Sus scrofa: one gene and its partner. Each later gene encodes a partner of the first gene's protein in a complex. Links are inferred from orthologs where the notes say so. Each region holds a gene or a part of one and is shown on either strand. Other genes may lie near its edges.

Region 1 (9,396 bases):
TCACGCACTTCGAGCTCCACTTTAGAGCGGATTTTCTGATCAGAAAAGGGCAAGAGAAGATAAGAAAATGGGCTGAGATGAAATGAGTAGGAGCCAATTCCATCTCAAGCAAAACCTGCCAGGTGGTCCTAGACTCACCTGTCACGCCCGGTGCTGAGGTTCACCTAGAAGCTGCCAGAGCTTCCCTGGGACCCTATTTCCTGCTCTATTTCCTGCCCAGGACCTGCTCTTTCTCCACTTGTGTCTAGATGAATCTGGGTAAAATCTAAAGCAGCTATGCCCTCCTGCAGGCCTCAGGGTCATGCAAGACTGGAGTGCTAACACTGGTCACCTTGGAAAGTAGCACTTTCTACATAATTTTTAATCGACCTCGCATTCCCCGTGGTTCAGCTGCCTTCTTTCTCTATTGCTGGAGCCCAGCTCTCCCTCACTCTGTACCTCACCTGCCCCATCCACTTTCCCTTCCACCTTCCCTAAGCCCTTCCTCCTTTGTTCCGAAGGCTCCCTGGCACTCCTTTCTGAGCCGTTTCTGTCTCAGAAGGCTGCCTTCCTCCCAGTGCTGGTTATCACATGGCCTCTAGAAGAACAAAAGGAAGGCAGGGAAGGCTGCGTGGTGGACTCTCAAATCTGAGCCCTCCAGGGTAACACCAAGTAAAAAGGACTCTTAGCAGGCCTATTCCTGGCATAAGACACTTACGCCATAAGCATCCACAATGAGCTGGAGGACATTGCTGGAATTGGAGGACAGCACCCCCACTGTGGTCCCTGGGATCAGTTCACTGTAGTTCTAGAAAGGAAGACAAAGATGTCCGGGGATGACGGATGAAGGTAGTGGTCTCCAAAAGCCCTCCCCAAATCAGACTGAGGGTCTTGAAATGAAAATTGAGGAAAAGGGAGGATGTTTTACTTGTCACTGCTAGGAATAAATCTAGCAGTTTTTCAGCCCTGAGAAAAATTACAGAGAACCTCTCTCTCACACACATACACACACACTCTCACCCACCCACCAAATTACTTCCCTCCACCACTGCAAACAGCAATACCCCCACCCTGCTAGGTTCAAGGTTCGAGAAGAGAGGCCACCAGGAGGAATTATCAGCTCCTGGATCTTTTCTGGTTGGGTACCATGGCCGAAGCTACTGTGAACTGGTTCCCTGAGACAGGTCCACCCATCACAGGCCCCACTCCCGCTCCAGGAGGGCAAAGTCACCTGGTAAAGACTAACTACACCTTCTGTCACTGCAAAGATCAAATTGATGTTTTTCTGGGATAGCTTCTCAGTTATCAGCCCCAGAGAGGGATAATCCTGTAAAAAGGGAGGGTGTGGAGGTTAGTTAAGACGTCTCTTCACATACATCCCTGAATTCTTAGGTCTTAGCTAATATGAGCTGTGGCTCAGACCATGGTAAGGCTTAAACTTGTTCACCCATAATCAGCGTGACGCAAACACAAAGTAAGTAAGTTGTGAACTCCAGAGATAAATGAAGAGGTACAGGCTGGTGGTGCCAAAACTAAGCACCTTCTTCTTACTTGAATTTGATGCATTCACACCAAGAGCAGCTTCTGTGGGCCAGGTGCTGCCAGGCCACATTGTTTTGAAGCTTCCTTCTGTTTTGCAGCTACTGACAAATTCCCTGGCTTGGTGCTCGCAATCCTCTGTCATGCGATCTCAACCTTCCTTTCCAATCATTCACCTCTCTCCCCCTTCCACTTACCACTCAGCTGGCCCACTTTCATCCTCCCACCTGGAGTGGGCTTTTTGCTAATCTTCCTCCTTCCTTAGGACCCAGCTCAGGTCCCACCTTCTCCAGGAGGCCTTCCCAGTTCCATCCCAGTTCATGATGAGCTTTCCTCCTTAAAATACCTAAAGCCCTTACTAACTTCTCTACCCAGTTAGCATTAACCATGCATCTTGTGTTACTGGTACCACATCTTGTGTTACTGGTACCACATCTCAACTAAACCAAAAACTCTCTAAGGCTGGGAACCTTATATAGTGTCTTTATCTGCCTCATCCCCTGGCAAGGCCCTGCATAGACAAGGTGTCAATGATTATGGACTCATCCATTGCCTAGTTGTACTCAACTTGGATATGGCTGACACCAAGGAACTCAAGCCACAGTGGGAATGCTGGTGAACTGTGAACATGTCCCTAAGATCCTGGACCTTGTAGGGGACTCATGAGATCATCCAGCTCAGACTCCTGCCTTTACACAGGTGTACCTTTAAGCTACCTAGATGAAGTAGCTGCTACACTGTCTTTAAAAGACAAAGTGATAGGGATGGAGTAGGCACAGGTGGTTGTAGAAGTCCCAATAGGGGATCGCAGATAAAGAGGGAAACCTGGGGGATGCTGGGAGACCACTATAAGTTCAAGAAAGCCACCAGAACAAGGCAGGCTTGCTTGACTAGTGGAGGTGCAAGAATTGCCTCAGGTCGTTGGGTGGGGGAGGGATGAGGCCTGCATTCTGATTCAAACCAAGGGCAAGAGTTTGAGGACCGCCCTTCAGCTGATTTGAATACACACCTTACTGGATACTAAGGAGGAGCTACTACTCCCAACAAGGAAGAGGTGGGCCTTTCCAACACCCCACTCCCCTTGGATTATAAAACTGCAACCCATGAGATCCTGGGGGCAGAGCTTCCTTGCCTACCTGCATGCATCTCTTACAAGTATCCTATCTTAAAAAATCTGTTTCTTGCCTATCACTTTGTCTCTTGCTGAATTCCTTCTGCACTGAGGCATAAAGAACCTGAACCTTATTGAGTCCAGACACGGTGTAAGTAACTCAAATTTAAAACTATGGGTTTAATAGCCAAGACATGGAAACAACCTAAATGTCCATCGACAGAGGAGTGGATCAAGAAGAGGTGGTCCATATACACAATGGAATATTACTCAGCCATTAAAAGGAATGAAATACCAGCATTTTTAGCAACACAGATGGACCTAGAAATTATCATGCTACGTGAAGTCAGCCATACAATGAGACACCAACATCAAATGCTTTCACTGACATGTGGAATCTGAAAAAAGGACAGACTGAACCTCTTTGCAGAACAGATGCTGATTCACAGACTTTGAAAAACTTATGGTCTCCAAAGGAGACAGTTTGGGGGGTGGGGGGATGTGCTTAGGATGTGGGATGGAAATCCTGTGAAATTGGATTGTGATGATCATTGTGAAAGAAAGAAAGAAAGAAAGAAAGAGAGAAAGAAAGAAAGAAAGAAAACTATGGGTTTAAGTCCCAATCTGGCTTTAGGCTGGGTTGAGTCCTGGCACTTGTGTTCAAGTCCTGACCTAGATTTTGGCTGGGTTTAAGTCCTGGCAAGTGGGTTCAAGTCCCAATCTGTGTTCTGGCCAGGTTCAGGTCATTAGTGCTGTCAGTTTCAAAAGCATTCACACTTGCTCCTAGATACTCAGCCTTCTGCCGGTCTATACATTTTCTTCATGGTTTACTGCAGTTCCTCTTGTTTCAATGTAAACTTTTCTTTTAACCTTCTATGGACATGGAAAACAACTTATAAGAAGTCCTCTCAAATAAACTAGTGGTTATCAGAAGGGAAGGGGCTGAGGGGGAGGGCAAAATGGGTAAAGGGAATCAACTGTGTGGTGCCAGATGGAAATTAGATTTTTGGTGGTAGCATGCTGTAATGTATACAGAAGTAGAAAAATAGTGTTATATACATGAAACTCACATAGTGTTATAAACAAATGTTACCTCAATAAAAAATAAATTTTTAGGAGTTCCCATCGTGGGCTCAGTGGTAACGAACGTGACTAGTATCCAGGACACTCAGATTCGATCCCTGGCCTTACTCAGTAGGTTAAAGGATCCGGCATTGCTGTGAATTGTGGTGTAGGTCGCAGATGCAGCTCAGATCCCATGTTGCTGTGGCTGTGACGCAGGCTGGCAGCTACAGCTCTGATTTGACCCCTAGCCTGGGAACGTCTATATGCTGCAGGCTTTCCTAAAAACCATTAAATAAATAAATAATTTTTTTTTAAAGTCGTCTCATGTATCAGCTAAACCATCGTATAGTCTTCCAGTTGAATGACTCTGAGCCCTTTAACCCATCCTCGCAGGACTGGCCCTTCATGCTTTTGACGATCTCTGTCTCTTTTTCCTCTGTCTTCTTCCAGTAACCACAAGTGAGCCTGATATTCCAAGAAGGGGCTAATCCACACACACCAGACAGGACAGCCTGCTCTCCACTGGACCTGCAGAAGTCCTCTGGGCCCATTCTGGAAGCCACGATGCTGCTGCTGGGGCTGGAGGAAGTGGAAACACTGATCACAGCCAGGACCATCTCTAATGGTTGTGCAGGTTGTACCCTGGATGAGGGTATCCAGTAGGTGGGAGAATTGAGGGCAGGCTGAACAAAGCCCTGCACCCGGCCCACAGGAAGGGCTGTCATTTTCATAGTCACACAAAGACCCTGCCTGGGTTTGAGCAGTCCTGGCCAGAGTGAAGAGGGGGCACACATGGTACCAAGAATCTCACCATGGTAGTGGAGGCAGAGTAATGGTTGTCACTGCCAACATGACACTGTCCATCATTGGGTTGGACAATGCCTGCCAGCCTTCCATCCAGCGCTATATGGGTCTTGGCATCAGTGGTAAACACCAGTAAGTGGGATGCATCGTTCCTCCAGCCAATCTTCTCCTGTTCAAAAAATGGCAAAAGAGAGAGAGCAGCTTTAGCCATGTCGCTGGTAGAAAACGAAGACCTAAGGAGCTCCCTGCCTGAGGCATTGTCTTGGAGAAGGGCCTCAGTCCCACTCCTTAGAACACAAGCTGAAGCTTTCCAACTCAGGGGTTTCTGTTCTCTTGGGAAAATAGGCTCATAGCTAAATAGTTTAAGCAGCTGAAAGACACATACATCAACTCCAAAAATAACTTTTTCTTTTTTTTATTCTTTTTTTTTTTTTCCCTTGGTCATGCCTGTGGCACATGGAAGTTCCTGGGCCAGAGATCTCTGCAATCCGAGCCACATCAGTGACAACACCATATCCTTAACTGGTTGCACCACCAGGGAATTCCCAAATATAACTTTTTCAATGATAATTACATGGCCCATCTAGAAACCCACCTGCATCTGCAGAGCAGGGCTAGGCTAGGAAAAAAATCCCATCTGGGAGTTCCCATTGTGGCGCAGTGGTTAATGAATCCAACTAGGAACCATGAGGTTGCAGGTTCAGTCCCTGCCCTTGCTCAGTGGGTTAATGATCCGGTGTTGCTGTGAGCTGTGGTGTAGGTCACAGACGCAGCTCGGATCCCGAGTTGCTGTGGCTCTGGCATAGGCTGGTGGCTACGGCTCTGATTAGACCCCTAGCCTGGGAACCTCCATATGCCGCGGGAGCGGCCCAAGAAATGGCAAAAAGACAAAAAAAAAAAAATCCCATCTGAACATCTGCCCCTTTGCTGAGATGAGTTAACCCAGCCTTGACACTTCCAGAGAAGGTGGGGAGATGCTCTCTTCAGGAAACATCGGAGACCACTAAGGTTCCAAAACATAACAGTTCTCACCATGGAGCAGATACAAGCAGAGACTGCATATCAGAACTTCTGGTTCATAATGTACGAAGTTCTGCTTGGTTCCTATCTCTTATTTCACACAGACATTCCCACAGTTGAGCCTCTTCCTGCCCCATTTTGATCTGGGCCAATCACACTGGGCACTCCATGCCCTCTAAACTCACGTCACAGACAGTAGCCTGCATGATGGCATCAAAGCCACCCTCTGGAGCATCTCGGTTCCGTGATACATTCTGCTTCTTCACTTCCTCGTTGAAACGGGTCACCTGGTCAGTTAGTGTGAGCACATGTTTGTAGCCAAACATGGGCAAACAGGTGGTCTTCATACTAGGGAGGAAAGGAGATCATTTAAGCAGACAGCTGATGGAAAAGGAGTAGGAGGGGAAAAGAGGGGGACAGATTGGGAGAGTGGTTTGCCCAGGCCAGCTCTATACAACTACAATTACCCAGACAGCTTAGACTCCAAATCCTTCAAATTACCTAAAGCATCACACTGACTTTACTTCTGGCTAGCTCAGAGGATAAGAGAGTGAACTGTGGAATCAGATTGCCTGGGTTCAAATCCCAGCTCCTTCACTTACTAGTCATGGGACCCTATGCAAGCTTCTCTATACCTAACCTCTAAAAAATTGAGGACATGACAGAACATATCTCATAAGAGTTGTTGGGAGGCTTAAACTGGTTAATGTATGTAAAGATCTTAGATCAGAGTGAGGCTCTAGTTGATATTGCTATCACCTCATACTTACTTCTTTAAAGTAACATTAACACAACAATTAAGTAAAAGTTTGGCAATAACTTACTGGCCCTGAGCTATCAATAAACTGATAGATCTGGGCCAAACAGGAGCATTTCTGTCCCCAGCTCAATGGTTTATCCGTTTAATTGATGGCTGACATCTTTACTGGGGAAACTTACAACACAGACAGAAGGTACCATATAACTTCCAACTCTACAAAGTAAATTCATACCTTGTCAGGCTCATTCAAAATTATAACCCATGAATTTTCTTAGTCTCTGCCAATTAAATAAATAAGCCATTCAGTTGTAAGCCAAAGTCTCAACAGAGGGACACATCAATTTATGCTATTAGAGAATTCAATAAATATTATTTCCACTCTTTTTTTTCTTTTTAGGGCCACAGCTGTGGCATATGGAAGTTCCCAGGCTAGGGGCTGAATTAAATCAGAGCTGCAGCTGCCAGCCTACAGCAGCACCGGATCCAAGCCGTGTCTGCAGACTACACCATAGCTCATGGCAATGCCATATCCTTTAACCTACTGAGTGAAGCCAGGGATAGAACCTGCATCTTCATGGATACTAGTTGAGTTCTTAATCTGTTGAGCCACAATGGGAACTCCCTCATTTCCACCCTTTTATGTTCCTCTAGGACTTAATTCCTTGCATTTTAACTCTGAAGACCTCGTAGTCTTGATAATGAGGACAGTGATGACAATAACAGTGGAACCAATCCTTCTGAAACCGTAATTCCTCTATTTACCTTTCCATAAATTTCTCTCTACTTTTGATCTCATTTCCCTCCTATTCTCACTTGTCTACTCTTTATTTATGACCAAAACCAAGAAGCTGATGAATTTTTCTTTCTAGGTCTCCAAACAGCCTTAGACTCTATTAATATAACATTTTAGATCAATGGGTTGGCACTTGCCAGGCAGGAAGACCAAGGTAGAGAGGAGATATCATTTGTCCAGAAGGCAGGCAACAAAGCCACTCTAGAACTAGAAATAGGGAGCAGGACTTGGACCTGCCTGGGGCAGAGGGGAAGGATGTTTTGCTGGCTTCTAGAGGAGAGACTTACTCATAGCAGGGGTTTTTGAGGGCCTGTGGTGGAGAGATGTACATGTAAGGTGACACAGGCTTGTCCACAAAGGCCCCGAAGCCAATCCGCAGGTTACTGGTGAGCTTACGCATCTGGGAAGCCAGCTTGGTACCCAGGTTCTGGATGCTCTCCAGATCATCCTTCATAGAGAAAGACAGGTCCATCAAGTAGTAGATGTCCACAGGGTAATCCTCCACCTGCCGGACTTGGACGGAGAAACTCTTCGAATCATCTGCAAGGTAGAAAGACGTTAATTCTTTCTCCTCTTCTCCCTCTAAGACTTAAGTAAAGTTGGACACAGTCGGAATGAAGTAACTTCTTGATCAAACTAAACTTGAAAGCCCTGGTCCCGTCTCCTCTCCCCTTGCACTTCTATTCCTCTTTCAATCTCTTGACTTCCTTTTTTTTTTTTTTTTTTTTTTTTTTTTCCCTGTCTTTTTGCCTTTTCTAGGGCCGCTCCCATGGCATATGGAGGTTCCCAGGCTAGGGGGTCTCTCTCATCGGAGCTGTTGCTGCCAGCCTACACCACAGCCACAGCAACACCAGATCCGAGCCCTGTCTGCGACCTACACCACAGCTCACGGCAACGCCGGATCCTTAACCCACTGAGCAAGGCCAGGGATCAAACCTGCAACCTCATGGTTCCTAGTCAGATTCGTTAACCACTGCGCCACAGCGGGAGCTCCTTGACTTCCTATTTTGAACCTTTCCTTTTCCATTCTAAACGTTGCCACCCTCTCAAAATCCCCATCTGTCTAATCCTCTGGGTCTGAAGGGTCCACCACCCTGAGTCACAGAAATGCCGGCAGCTACTACACTTCAGACTCTATTAAAAGCAGGAACTATGTCCCTCCCTTCTCTGAATCCCACTGTACCCAACACGTCTTGCATGTAGAAGGTACATTCTTAAATTCTTGATTTAATTGTGAAGTCAAAATCAAATGCCTCAAGGAGTTCCAGTTGTGGCACAGCGGAAACAAATCCGACTAGGAACCATGAGGTTGTGGGCTCGATCCCCGACCTCGCTCAGTGGGTTAAGGATCCCACATTGCCGTGAGCTGTGGTATAGGTCGAAGACTCGGCTCAGATCTGGCATTGCTGTGGCTGTGGCGTAGGCCAGCAGCTGTAGCTCGGGTTAGACTCCTAGACTGGGAACCTCCATATGCCACAGGGGCAGCACCCCCCGCCCCAGAAAAAAAAGGCAAAAAAAAAAATCAATGCCGCAAAAAGCCTGTTTCTTAGCCTAACCCTTCCTCTGAGGGTCTCCTGTCCCTATTTTCTCTACCCCTATGCAAGCCCCTGCTCATTCCAAACTTCTCTCATCTTACACCTCATTTGAGCACCAATATAAAGTTATACACTGGGTAAAACAGGCATTGGGGAGGGGAGTTCCCATTGTGGCACAGTGGAAAGAAATCTGACCAGTAGCCATGAGGATGCTGGTTGGATCTCTGGCCTTGCTCAGTGGGTTAAGGATCAGGTGTTGCTGTGGCTATGGTATAGGCAAGCAGCCATAACTCCGATTTGACCCCTAGCCTGGGTGTGGCCCAAAAAAGGAAAAAAAAAAAAAAAAAACAGGCATTGGGGAGACAAAGAAACAAACATTTCTGAGTAGCTATTAAGCTAGAAGGGTAGTTACTTGCTCAAAGATCAAACAGCTAATATACAGAAGAGTCAAGATTCAGACTCAGATCTTCTGTCTTCAGGTCCCCAAATCTTTTTTTTTTTTTTTCCATTCTCCCACCCACACTTCTCCCCACATCCTCCTCTTCCCACTCCATTTCCATGCAAGACCCTGCAAGACCCCTACCTGGCCGGAGCCGGAGCAAGATCCTCTGGGGGCTGACTTGAGTTATCTGGGAGCTGTCTCCAGAGCCCTTGTCACTCAGGGGCCTGGCCTCCAGGATTCTGGCCTCACTGATGGGGAACTCAATGTACTTCGGGTTACAGTGATCGTTCAGCAGATTCTCCTCCAGGTTACAGCGGGGCGTGCCCAGAGGCAGATCCTGTAAGACAG
Region 2 (10,098 bases), on another chromosome or scaffold:
TCCTGGCAACCCTAGAAGGTAGGTTTCATTTCCTTCTCCGATTTTGTAGATGAGGAAAATGAGGGAGGGTCGGGGGTGAAAAGATTTACCCTGGTCTCCCAACTAAAAATTGGTGAAGGGAGTTCCTGTCGTGGTGCAGTGGAAACGAACCCGACTAGGAACCATGAGGTTGCCGGTTCGACCCCTGGCCTCGCTTAGTCGGTTAAGGATCCGGTGTTGCCGTGAGCTGTGGTATAGGTCACAGACGAGGCTCGGATCCTGCGATGCTGTGGCTGTGGCCGTAGGCTGGCAGCAACAGCTCCAATGAGACCCCTAGCCTGGGAACCTCCATCTGCCATGGGTGTGGCCCTAAAACAAACAAACAAACAAAAAAAAAGTGGTGAAGGAGTTCCTGTCGTGGCTCAGTGGGAACGAACCCGACTAGTATCCATGAGGATGCAGGTTTGATCCCTGCCCTCGATCAGCGGGCTAAGGATCCAGTGTTGCTGTGGTTGTGGCGCAGGCCGGCAGCTACAGCTCTGATGCTACCCCTAGCCTGGGAACCTCCATATGCCACAGGTGTGGCCCTCAAAAGACTAAATAAATAAATAATTTAAAAAATTAAAAAATAAAATAAAAAGTGGTGAATCTGAGAGACATAAGTTCAAATTTGACTTTAGAGGCATGCCCTCGATCGTTATGCTGTCTCCCAAGAGGGAGGGGAAGCAGCACCACTATTTGGGGTGCTCCACCTACAGCATATGGAGGTTCCCAAGCTAGGGGTCAAATTGCACCTGGAGCTGCCGGTCTACACCACAGCCATAGCAATGCCAGATCCAAGCCATGACCTACCCCGCAGCTCACGGCAACGCCGGATCCTTAACCCAGAGACAGAGGCCAGGGACTGAACCTGAATCCTCATGGATACTAGTCGGGTTTGTTACCGCTGAGCCACAACAGAATCTCCCTCTGGAATATTTTAACCTCCCCTAAATTCTCAACACTGCTGGTCTGAAGTGGGAGAGGTAAGGATCTCAGGAAAGAGCCATGCTCCCTCGCCCAAATTCTTGATGGCTTCTAGGGGCAAGAAGGCACTAAATATGGAGAAATGGGCAAGAGAGAGGGACAGGCCAGAAAGAGATGGCTGGGACTAGGAAAGCCCATCCAGCCAGGAAGAGCTGGAGCGGGCGGCCCTGGACTACAGCTCCAGCACGGGCACCCGAGAGGAAGAGCTGGCCTGGCAGCAGGCAGGGCCTCGAAAGGCCTTCCCCATGGCCTCAGGAAACGTAAGAATAGCAGGAAGTGGGAAGCAGGGGCTCACAGGTTATTTCCTTCCCTGCTCCTCTCTGAGCTCAAGCGTGGGAAGAGCAGACCTACTTTTCCAATTCCGGTCCCAGCCCGAGAGCTGCCCCCCCCCACCGCTCGCCTGCTCACCTGTCATGAGGGGTGACCAGCTTGGGCGGGTTCCTGAGGTATTGTTTGAAGCGCAACTCAAAGGCCTGGCCAATGGTGCTGATGACGTCCTGAGCAAGCCCTTCGGGACACTCCAGGATGTGGCAGGCTGGGGGCACAGCAGAGGCTGTCAGGGAACTCGGGGGGAAGGCGGGGGGCACGCACAGACGGGGCCCTCGCCCTCATTCTCCGCAGCAGGAGCCCCTGCTGAGCTCCCGGGTCCTGCTCACCTGTCTCTCTGACAGCCGGCCCCACCCAGCGCTCCCCACCACGCCTCACCTCTCTGATTCACCGGGTCTTTGGCAACATAGGCGACATATTCGGCTGTGTCCTGGGGTAGACAGAATCAGAAGAGGCCAGTTAGCTCAACGGTAGAGCCCCACCTCAGTCCTGACCCCTCAAACCCGGCCCTAAGCAGCTATTGCCTCGGTCCTAGCACACTCACCTCTCTAGCCAGTTTTCCCCCCCCCCATCCCAAGCCCCTCTCTCCTCTCCCACCACCTTGGTGCACTCCCCGACTCACCGGGTCCCCGCCGGACGCAAACGAGATGGATTGCATATGGTGGTTGGCGATGATCTGAGGGTTAGGGCAGAGGATGGAGAAGGAAGGGAAGGACGGGTGTCAGGCAGCCTGAGGGTCCACTGGGCACCCCCCACCACTGGCCCGGGACCCCAGCGTCCCTTTGGCTTCTCAACCCATGTCCTCCTAATCTACACCTTCCCTACAGCTCTGCTGCGCCCAAGGCTTCTCTGCTAAGTTCTTGCCCTCGTGGCCAGGTTCCCACTGAGCCTTCCCATCGGTGTTTCTGCACGCCCTCACCCCCCGCCCTGACCCTGACTCCACCCCACCAACCTGTTTGCAGTCTGCGGCCATGAGGTTGAGGCTGCTGGTGGAGACGGTGAGAGTGATTGGCATTCCAGCAAATTTCAGGTTACTCCTCCCCAGGATGGAGCTGAGTGGGCGGCCACAGGGCTGGGGAAGGGCCCCAGGTCTCAGAAGCTGGGAGATCCCACACCAGGAAACCGCCCGCACTCCTGCCCTTCTCCCCACACGCGCCACACTAGCCTTGCCCCTGCTCCTCCGCATCTCCCGGCAGCATCCCCCGTGCCGTGGACCCCAGGTACCTTTCTCCTCCTTGTCGCCCCCTTCGCACCCGGCACAGCCTCACACACCAGACTGATGGCCTCCCTGGGGAAAGAGGGGTACTCAGACCCAGAGCCTGCCTCCCACTCGGCTGGGGCTGCCACAGGGCTGGGGGAGGGGAAGGCCAGGCCAGACTCCAGGGGCACTCCAGGCTCTTTGTCGTGGTGGATTGAATTAAGGGCCTTTAATATTTGATGACACTGAGAGGCCGCTTCCTGGCTGATTGGGTTAGGGCCTCAGTGGGTCTGGCCCCACCCCCTTCCAGCTACCAAATGTCCCAGCCCCTTCCCAAAGGCGGTGGTGGTGGTGGTGGTGGTGGTGGCGGCAGTGGTGGTGGCGGCGGTGGTGGCGGCGGCAGCGGCGGGCAGCAACCTTCCATCTACCCCCATTTTCCACTCAAGCTCCAGCTGCCAGCTGCCTCTGCCACCTCCCCCACAACTCCCCAGGCTGGATACGTAGAAGGAGCCGGGTCAGAGTTGTCTCTTTTCATTGAGACTTAGACTGACTCTCCTACCTGTCTCTAAATCGCCTTCCCCACCCAAAGACAAGCCAGCACTAGCCACCACCACCAAGCGACCCCCTCCCGGCCTGAATGCCAGGAGCCCTGCGCTCTCGGCCCCGCCTCCCCACGAACCTGGTGACCTGAGTCCGGGTGTTGAAGTCCAGGGCGCGCATCGACTGCAGGACCTCCACACAGCCCATGTACTGAGGGGAGGGATGCGAGGAGGAGAGTCAGCCGCCCCCCTCCAGCCTCTTCACAAAGGGCCGTAGGACTCTGCCCTACGTGGTCCCTCAGGGAAGAAGAGATGAAGTTCTGCCCCGCTGCCCGTGGCTCCATCCCACAGAGTGCAGGACAATAGGGGGTGAGGAGAGAAGGGCGAGCTAGGAGGACCTCCTGCACAGTGGGGGGTGGGGGGAGGGAATTTGGAGGGGAGCGACAGGCCCTGGCTGGGATGGAGTGACAACTCCAGAAAGGGGGAGCAGACTGGAGGGGAGTCACTCAAGAGCCACTCATTCCAACACTTACTAAGGGCCTGTCCTGGGCTTTGTGCTGAGCATGGCAGGCTGGGGGTAGGGGTGGGGGAGTCGCAGGACCCAAGGGGACCCAGACAGAGCTGGAAGAGAAGGGGCTACAGAATCAGAGAAGGCGCACAAAAGGCTTAAGAAACAGGACACGGAAACCAAGGGAGTTGCTGGGGAAAAGAAGGGGCGAAAAAGAGAGACTCATGAGCAGAGGAACTGAAGGGGTCAGGGAGGGAGGACGCTCACTCACCCGAACCAAGTAGGAAACCCCGGGTCCCATGACTTTGTCGTTGGGATGCAGCCAGCCCCGCGTGGGCTTATTGACGAAGCTCCCGTGGCGGGTCCACTCCTCGCCCCCCAGCTGGCCCCCTTCCACCCGAGTCCTGCGCCCGCCGCCTCCACTCAGCTTGTTCATGTCCTGGAGGAAGGGTAGGGGGCCCGAGTCGGGTACAGCTGCCCCGACGGTCCCCTCCCCATCCTCGGCTGCCCTTCCTGGCTCCCCCTTCGGCCCTGGGCGCCCCCCAGCTGGGTTGGCCAGCTTCAGGTTGCTCATCCGGGGGAAGAAGGAGCACAGGGTGGTGGGGCTGTCGTCCCCTGGCAGAGGTGGCAGCATGGGCCCCAGGGACGAGGCTGACGGGGAAGGCAGCTCCTCTGGTGGAGTGGACCCTGAAGCCCCCTCCTCCAGCGATGACAGAGACTCATTCCGAAGTGGGTTGTACTTGGGCTTGGGGGGCAGGAGATCCATGGCTGGAGTGAGAGGGAGGCTGCTGCCCAGCCTGGCCCCCCTGCCAGTCAGGGCAAGGGGGCCAGGCAGGGGGCATCCCCAGGCCCTTAGCCTGATCGGACCTCTGTGGCCCAGGGGTCTCAAGGGTCCTGGGGAGGGAGAGGGACAAGTGGCTCTGGCTCCCGCGGCTCAGACCCAGACAGTTCCAGGCCCCATCTCTGCCCAGCGTGGAGCCTCTTCTCTGGCTGAGAGGAGAACAGGCTGGACCTAGAGCTGCCTGGCTCCTCCCCAGGGGCGGGGAGCAAAGGGGAGAGACCAATCCCGTGGACAGTGCTGACTCACAGGCTCTGAGGGGCTGAGCCCCCAACACCGCCCCAACCTAGAACTCTTTCGGGGCAGAGTGCACCGTGCCCCCACCGCCCGCCCCACCCCCGTCCCCCCCCCCGCCCCCACCCCGGCCCACCCCGTACAAACAACATGTAATCTAGGGAGGAGTAGAGTGGGATTGGAAGGGAAGGATGGAGGGGTGAGAAGGAAAGGAGGGCGATAAGAGGAGGTCTGGATCAATCCAAACCGGACATGGGCAGGTCAAAGGGAGCAGGAAGCTGGTGGGGGGAGTGGGGAATGAGGGAGGAAACAGAGGCAGCTGGGGGTGGGAAAGGGAGGGGATCCCTGAGCTCAGCATTTCCCTTCCTGTCCTGGTCGAACACTCAGATTCCCTCATCCCCCAGCACCCCCTAGTCTCGGTCATTAGCATCCTCCGCTGCAACAGCCGGGGAGGGAGCTACAGAAATGGGAAAAGGAAGGACATGGTCCCGGTGGATGCAGAGAGGGGCCAAGGGGAAGGGCAGAGCTGGTGAAGTAAGGGAATGAAGTCCCTTACTTCATCATCATGATGGGTGTTGCATCAGGGAGCCACCAGGCAGGAGCCGGAGCAGACGACAGGCTGGTGGAGGCTTGTTCTCTGCATGGCGTCTACCATGCCAAGGAGCAGCAACTCATGCCAGGCACCCTTCTGCAGCCCCCCACCACTTTCCGCAGCCAAGCAAGTTATCAAGGGTAGGAGGGGTGGGGGCTGCCAGGGCACTGACACTAACGTCAGTGCCCTGGACCTGCAGGTAAGCTCCTACCCCTCCTCTGGCCGTAGGGACCCTAGAGAGTACAGGTATCCACCACAGAGCCCGAGGCCCCACCCCGCCAGGGGCAGCGTCTGGCTGGGGAGGGGAGAGTGAAACAGTTCTCCAAGAGGAGGGGGACGGGGGCTACAGGCCACGAAGGGATAGGGTAGGCAGAAGACCAATCTGTGCCAAGGGGAAAGGAGTGCCAGGAAAAGGAGGACTGAGGCTGGACACAGGAAACAGTCTCAAACCCATTCCTTCCACCCACAGCTTCACGCCAGCTCTGCTCGAGGGGGCCATGGAGGCAGCTGGAAAGTGACCAAGAAATAAAGAGTGAAAGATATATATAGCCCCCCAGGCTGGCCTCGGAATATCTATCCTTAAATTTATCTCCCAGGATAAAAAGACAGCAAATAATCATAGGATTATAGTGATCAACAGCACCAGCACTTCGAACGTGTCAGACACTGTGCTTATCACCTCCTCTTGGTCCACAACGGAGGAGAGCTTTGCCACTCCATTTGCCACTCCTGGGAAGAAACTCTATGGCTCTCTTTCCTAAGGCCTCAGCTCCCAGGCCTAGAGAGAATGAAGAAAGTATGCTGCCGGAGCCTCACACCTTCCACACACACAAACACACACCAGGATGTGCTCATCTTCAGAGGCAGGCATTTGGTGGCTGCCTGCAGGATCCAGAGGTCGTGGATGACCAACAGGTGTGGGCATCGTCAGACAAAAGAGAGGAAGCAGGGCTCTTTAAATTTACGTAGGAAGAAAAGAGATTGCTACTGAGAGTCCTGGCCTCTGGGTGTGGGGAAGAAGCTGCGTGTGGCGCCTCAGCCCAGTAGGGAGGAGGAGGCAAGAGCGGCGGAAAGTAGCAGGAAATGGCGAAAGCCTCAGGAATGTTTCCAGAAGGGAAGGCTGGGCAAGCGGGAAAGAGGAATGCCCAGACTAGAACTCTGGTTAGGGGGAAGGGAAGAGCCAGAGAAATGCTGCGGCCTGAGGAGGCCCTTAAAAAAAAAAAAAAAAAAAATCAAAGAGCAAAAAGGACACTGTTCCCTAACCCACTGCAAGCCACTTTCTGGTGATAGAAAATTTGCGCTTCTGTCACACCCACATGTCGCACATCAACAAATCCATGGCCCTACCCAGCTCCCGACGATGACCACGACGACGACGATGGACAGGTATGAGACAAACAGCTGTTTCTGGGGTGGAGTCGGTCCTGGGAAGGGAAACTCAGGGAGTGGGGTTGGGAGTCTATGAGCAAGTCTCCCTCCCGCTCTCGTGCCAAACCCCAAGTCCAGCCCCCTACAAGTAGGTCCACCCTTGTAAGGGGATAAGGACAAGGGCTGCCTCTAATCTCTTACTTCTCAGAACCAGAGATGTGAACTTTTGCCTTCCTACCCGGTGGAGCATGAGAGCTCAGGAAAATTGAGCTAGAGGCCCCAAAGAGAAAAAGAACAGGGAAATGTAAGCAGGTGACGTTCCAGGGGCTGAAGACAAAGCTCCCCAGGCGATGACCTGGGACCTACAGGGATAAAGATCTTGAGGGGGCGTGGTCCCTTAGGACGCGTGCATCAGAGATTTCCAGGAGGCCAGGCTTCTGGGCGATCAGACGTGGATTAGGGAAGGGGCGGAGCTTCTAGAGGGGCGGAAACCCTAGAGAGGAGTGGCTTCACGAATTCAAGCAGATCTTTGAGGGGCAGGGCTTTGCCCTTTGGGGAGATAGGCTTTTTGACAGACAGGAGTTAGCGGAGAATCGTCGCGAGGCGGGGTTTCGGGTAATTGGAAAGACTTAACGTTGGGTTTCTAGGAGTAAGGCTTGGAAGCATGTCTAGGGGTGGGACTTCCAGGAAAGCTGGGCGACGGGGTGGGGTCGGGGACAATAAACGGAAAATAAGTCGGGGTTCAGGGAGCCCCCTGAAGTTGGGAGGTGGGACTTCCGGGGAGGGGGTCGCAGGGGGCGGGACTTATAAATGAAGACCGGAAGTAGGGTCCCGGGAGAGGGGTTCCGGGGTGGAGGGGAGGTTCGCCTAAGGAGAAAAAAAAAGGTCCCAACTCACCAGGGCTTCATGGGGTCTCCGCACCGCACCGCGGGTCGATTTGGTTCCGGATCACGCCACTGCCTCCTTAGGTCGCCGCTCCAACTTTCTCCCCGGGCCCGGCCTCCCTGGAGAAACTTTATTGCACTCACTTCCGGCCTTACTAACCCCTGACCCTCTACCTCATCGTCCCTCCTTCACCCGTCCCACTTTCCCAAATCAGCCAATGATGCGCGAGAACGCTCACAGGGCAGTGATAGCCTATAAGAGGCCTATTTTTGCCCTACGTTTTTCTTTAGAAACTTAAGCAGTGCACTCCAATAAGGACCTGAAGAGAAGCAAATCTAAGCCAATCGAAGGCTTGGAAGTGGAGTTGTCCCGCCTTCCGCCAGGCGGACCAATAGGAAGCGCGGGCGGCGTGTTTGAAAGCGAGGCCAAAGAGGGTGGGAGCGCGTGCTGCTGGGAGTTGTTTGGAGGTTGGCGGTGCGGTGTTGACGGTCCTCTGGCAGAGCGATCATGTCGCACAAACAAATTTACTATTCGGACAAATACGACGACGAGGAGTTCGAGTACCGGTTAGTGCCGGCGCGGGGGCAGTATCGAGGTGGTGAGCTTTGACAAGTGTGGGCACGAGGAATTAGTAACAGGGACCGAAGGTATAGAGTCGGCGCATGCGCAAGAGGTTAACGGGAATGGGTGTGCGCTTTGAGCGTAAGGCGCATGCGCTAAGGGTAGGGGGTCGCTCAAAAAAGCCTAAAAGTGGTAGTGAATTTGTAGTAAGCTCTCCCGTGGGGAGGAGGCGTAGGTGGGCGTGGTTAGAGTGCTGACCATCCCCACTCTTGAGGGTTTCTGGATCATTCTCTCCAATTTGCTCAGCAGATTGAACTTGACTTCTTGAGACTGCTTGTATCACCGCAACACCACAGAGCCTCTGGGGTCGGGAGAAGCTCGAATTTTCCTCGCCTCTTCAAAGTGAGGGGAGTTCTGAGAGAGCCTGAGTGGTGTTCATTAATTCTTGGAAAAGGAGCGTGGTTGTCTGGCTTGTTTTATAGGAAGGGGGCTTTGAAGATCAGGAGTGGAATAAAACTGGCCAGAAGCATTGAGTAAAGACTTAATACGGACCTAATAGATGACCTTCAAATATTTGAAGGGCATCTACTTGGGAAACAGCTTATAGGTTTCAGATGTTGTGCTAAAGTGCAGGGATAAGCCATGGTGCCTGCTTTCACCAAAACTTTTTTAAGTCTGTGGAAATACTCAGAAGGTGGTACTTGGCATGATAGAACTTTGTACAGGCTGTGATGGGAGCAGTAGGACTTGCCAAGCACAGCGAAGAAAGTGAGTCGCTCCAGAGTTTGCATTTGATAAATCCTAACCATAATTCTAGATTAGAAAATTAGGGAAGAAAAGGAGTTCTGCAAATGTTGGCATTCCACCAATCTGTGTTAATTGTAATACTTAAAACACCTGGAAGCTTGGTTGTTTTGTATTTCTTCTGCAGCCTAGTGCAGGGCTCTGGGCCCTCTGGAGAACTTGGAGTGTGCCAACAAATACATAACTATATGTATGCCACATGGTTGGGAAAAGACCCCGAGCCCTGTTTGGACCTAATTAACTTTCTTTTCCTCACCTGTTTTCCTCTCCATCTAAAGGAGGCTAACTAAAATTAGGTGCTTATAATTTATAAGGGCTAGGGGAACATCACTAGTTTCCTCCCCTGGAATATGTAAGACTTGGCAGTGATACCTGGTTTAAGAGAAGAGGTTTTATTATGTGTTGCTTTTTTTATTTGTTTTTTGGGGCTATTGGGATTTTTTTTTGTCTAAATGGGTATGGAAGCCAGTCTTTACTCCAGGGACTTATTAGGATGTAAGCTATTTTCAAATATTTAGACTAGAATGGACTCTTTGGGGTTCCCGTTGTGGTTCAGCGGTCATGAACCTGACTAGTATCCATGAGGATGCAGGTTCAATCCCTGGCATCGCGCAGTGGGTTAAGGATCTGGCATTGCCATGAGCTGTGGTTTAGGTCCCAGACGCTGCTCTGATCCTGAGTTGCTGTGGATGTGGCAGCTTTCATAGGCCACAAGTGAGGCTCTAAAAAGAAAAAAAAAAAATGTCTCTTTGGAGAAAAAAAAAATCTGTTAGCACAGAGAGAGCATTCGGTACATTTTCATTGAACATGCTAAAGTCTGTCTGGGTCAGCCCAATCCAAATCAGAATAGTAACTTCTTTGCCATGAAAGGGACTTATGCTTGATTAGGAAAGCATGCAGTTTCCCAAAAGAAATCTCATGGCACATCCCTTCAGAGTTAGGAAAGTAAAATTAAAGGAGAAGACATTTACATTTCTGCCTTTGTGCTGGCTGCTTTTTTTTTTTTTTTTTTTTTTTTTTGGCTTTTTAGGGCTGCACTAGCAGCATATAGAGGTTCCCAGGCTAGGGGTTGAATCAGAGCTGTAGCCACCAGCCCACGCCGCAGCATCTGCTGCCTACACAACAGCTCACGGCAACACCAGATCCTTAACCCACAGAGCGAGGCCAGGCATTGAAACTGCGTCCTCATGGACACTAGTCAGAATCATTTTCCCTGAGCCACAGTGGAAACTCCTGTAT

The links.
Region 2: the proteins of ITGB3 (region 1) and SHC1 are in contact, whole or in part, in an NMR structure (PDB 2L1C), measured with the Homo sapiens proteins. The link is inferred for Sus scrofa from reciprocal best matches to the Homo sapiens genes ITGB3 and SHC1. Residues at the interface, in NP_000203.2 of Homo sapiens: Trp765, Asp766, Thr767, Ala768, Pro771, Leu772, Tyr773, Lys774, Glu775, Ala776, Thr777, Ser778, Thr779, Phe780, Thr781, Asn782, Ile783, Thr784, Tyr785, Arg786, Gly787, Thr788; in NP_892113.4 of Homo sapiens: Ser175, Met176, Arg177, Asn182, Arg184, Thr185, Gln186, Thr188, Arg189, Glu190, Ser193, Leu194, Arg208, Arg209, Lys210, Arg214, Pro215, Leu216, Ser217, Ile219, Met257, Gln258, Ser259, Ile260, Ser261, Phe262, Ala263, Ser264, Gly265, Pro268.

Annotation. Positions count from the first base shown.
Region 1 is NC_010454.4:16,715,056-16,724,451, forward strand, and holds part of ITGB3 (integrin beta-3 precursor), read right to left. Parts: intron 9,386-9,396; coding exon 9,190-9,385; intron 7,612-9,189; coding exon 7,359-7,611; intron 5,867-7,358; coding exon 5,704-5,866; intron 4,668-5,703; coding exon 4,506-4,667; intron 1,307-4,505; coding exon 1,211-1,306; intron 788-1,210; coding exon 698-787; intron 36-697; coding exon 1-35. UniProt on the Homo sapiens protein: Integrin alpha-V/beta-3 (ITGAV:ITGB3) is a receptor for cytotactin, fibronectin, laminin, matrix metalloproteinase-2, osteopontin, osteomodulin, prothrombin, thrombospondin, vitronectin and von Willebrand factor.
Region 2 is NC_010446.5:94,817,435-94,827,532, reverse strand, and holds the start of SHC1 (SHC-transforming protein 1), read right to left. Parts: upstream 4,700-10,098; 5' UTR 4,344-4,699; coding exon 3,849-4,343; intron 3,281-3,848; coding exon 3,210-3,280; intron 2,621-3,209; coding exon 2,557-2,620; intron 2,405-2,556; coding exon 2,285-2,404; intron 2,009-2,284; coding exon 1,955-2,008; intron 1,763-1,954; coding exon 1,711-1,762; intron 1,541-1,710; coding exon 1,414-1,540; intron 1-1,413. Other genes in the region: CKS1B (cyclin-dependent kinases regulatory subunit 1), read left to right, coding at 8,002-8,060. UniProt on the Homo sapiens protein: Signaling adapter that couples activated growth factor receptors to signaling pathways. Participates in a signaling cascade initiated by activated KIT and KITLG/SCF.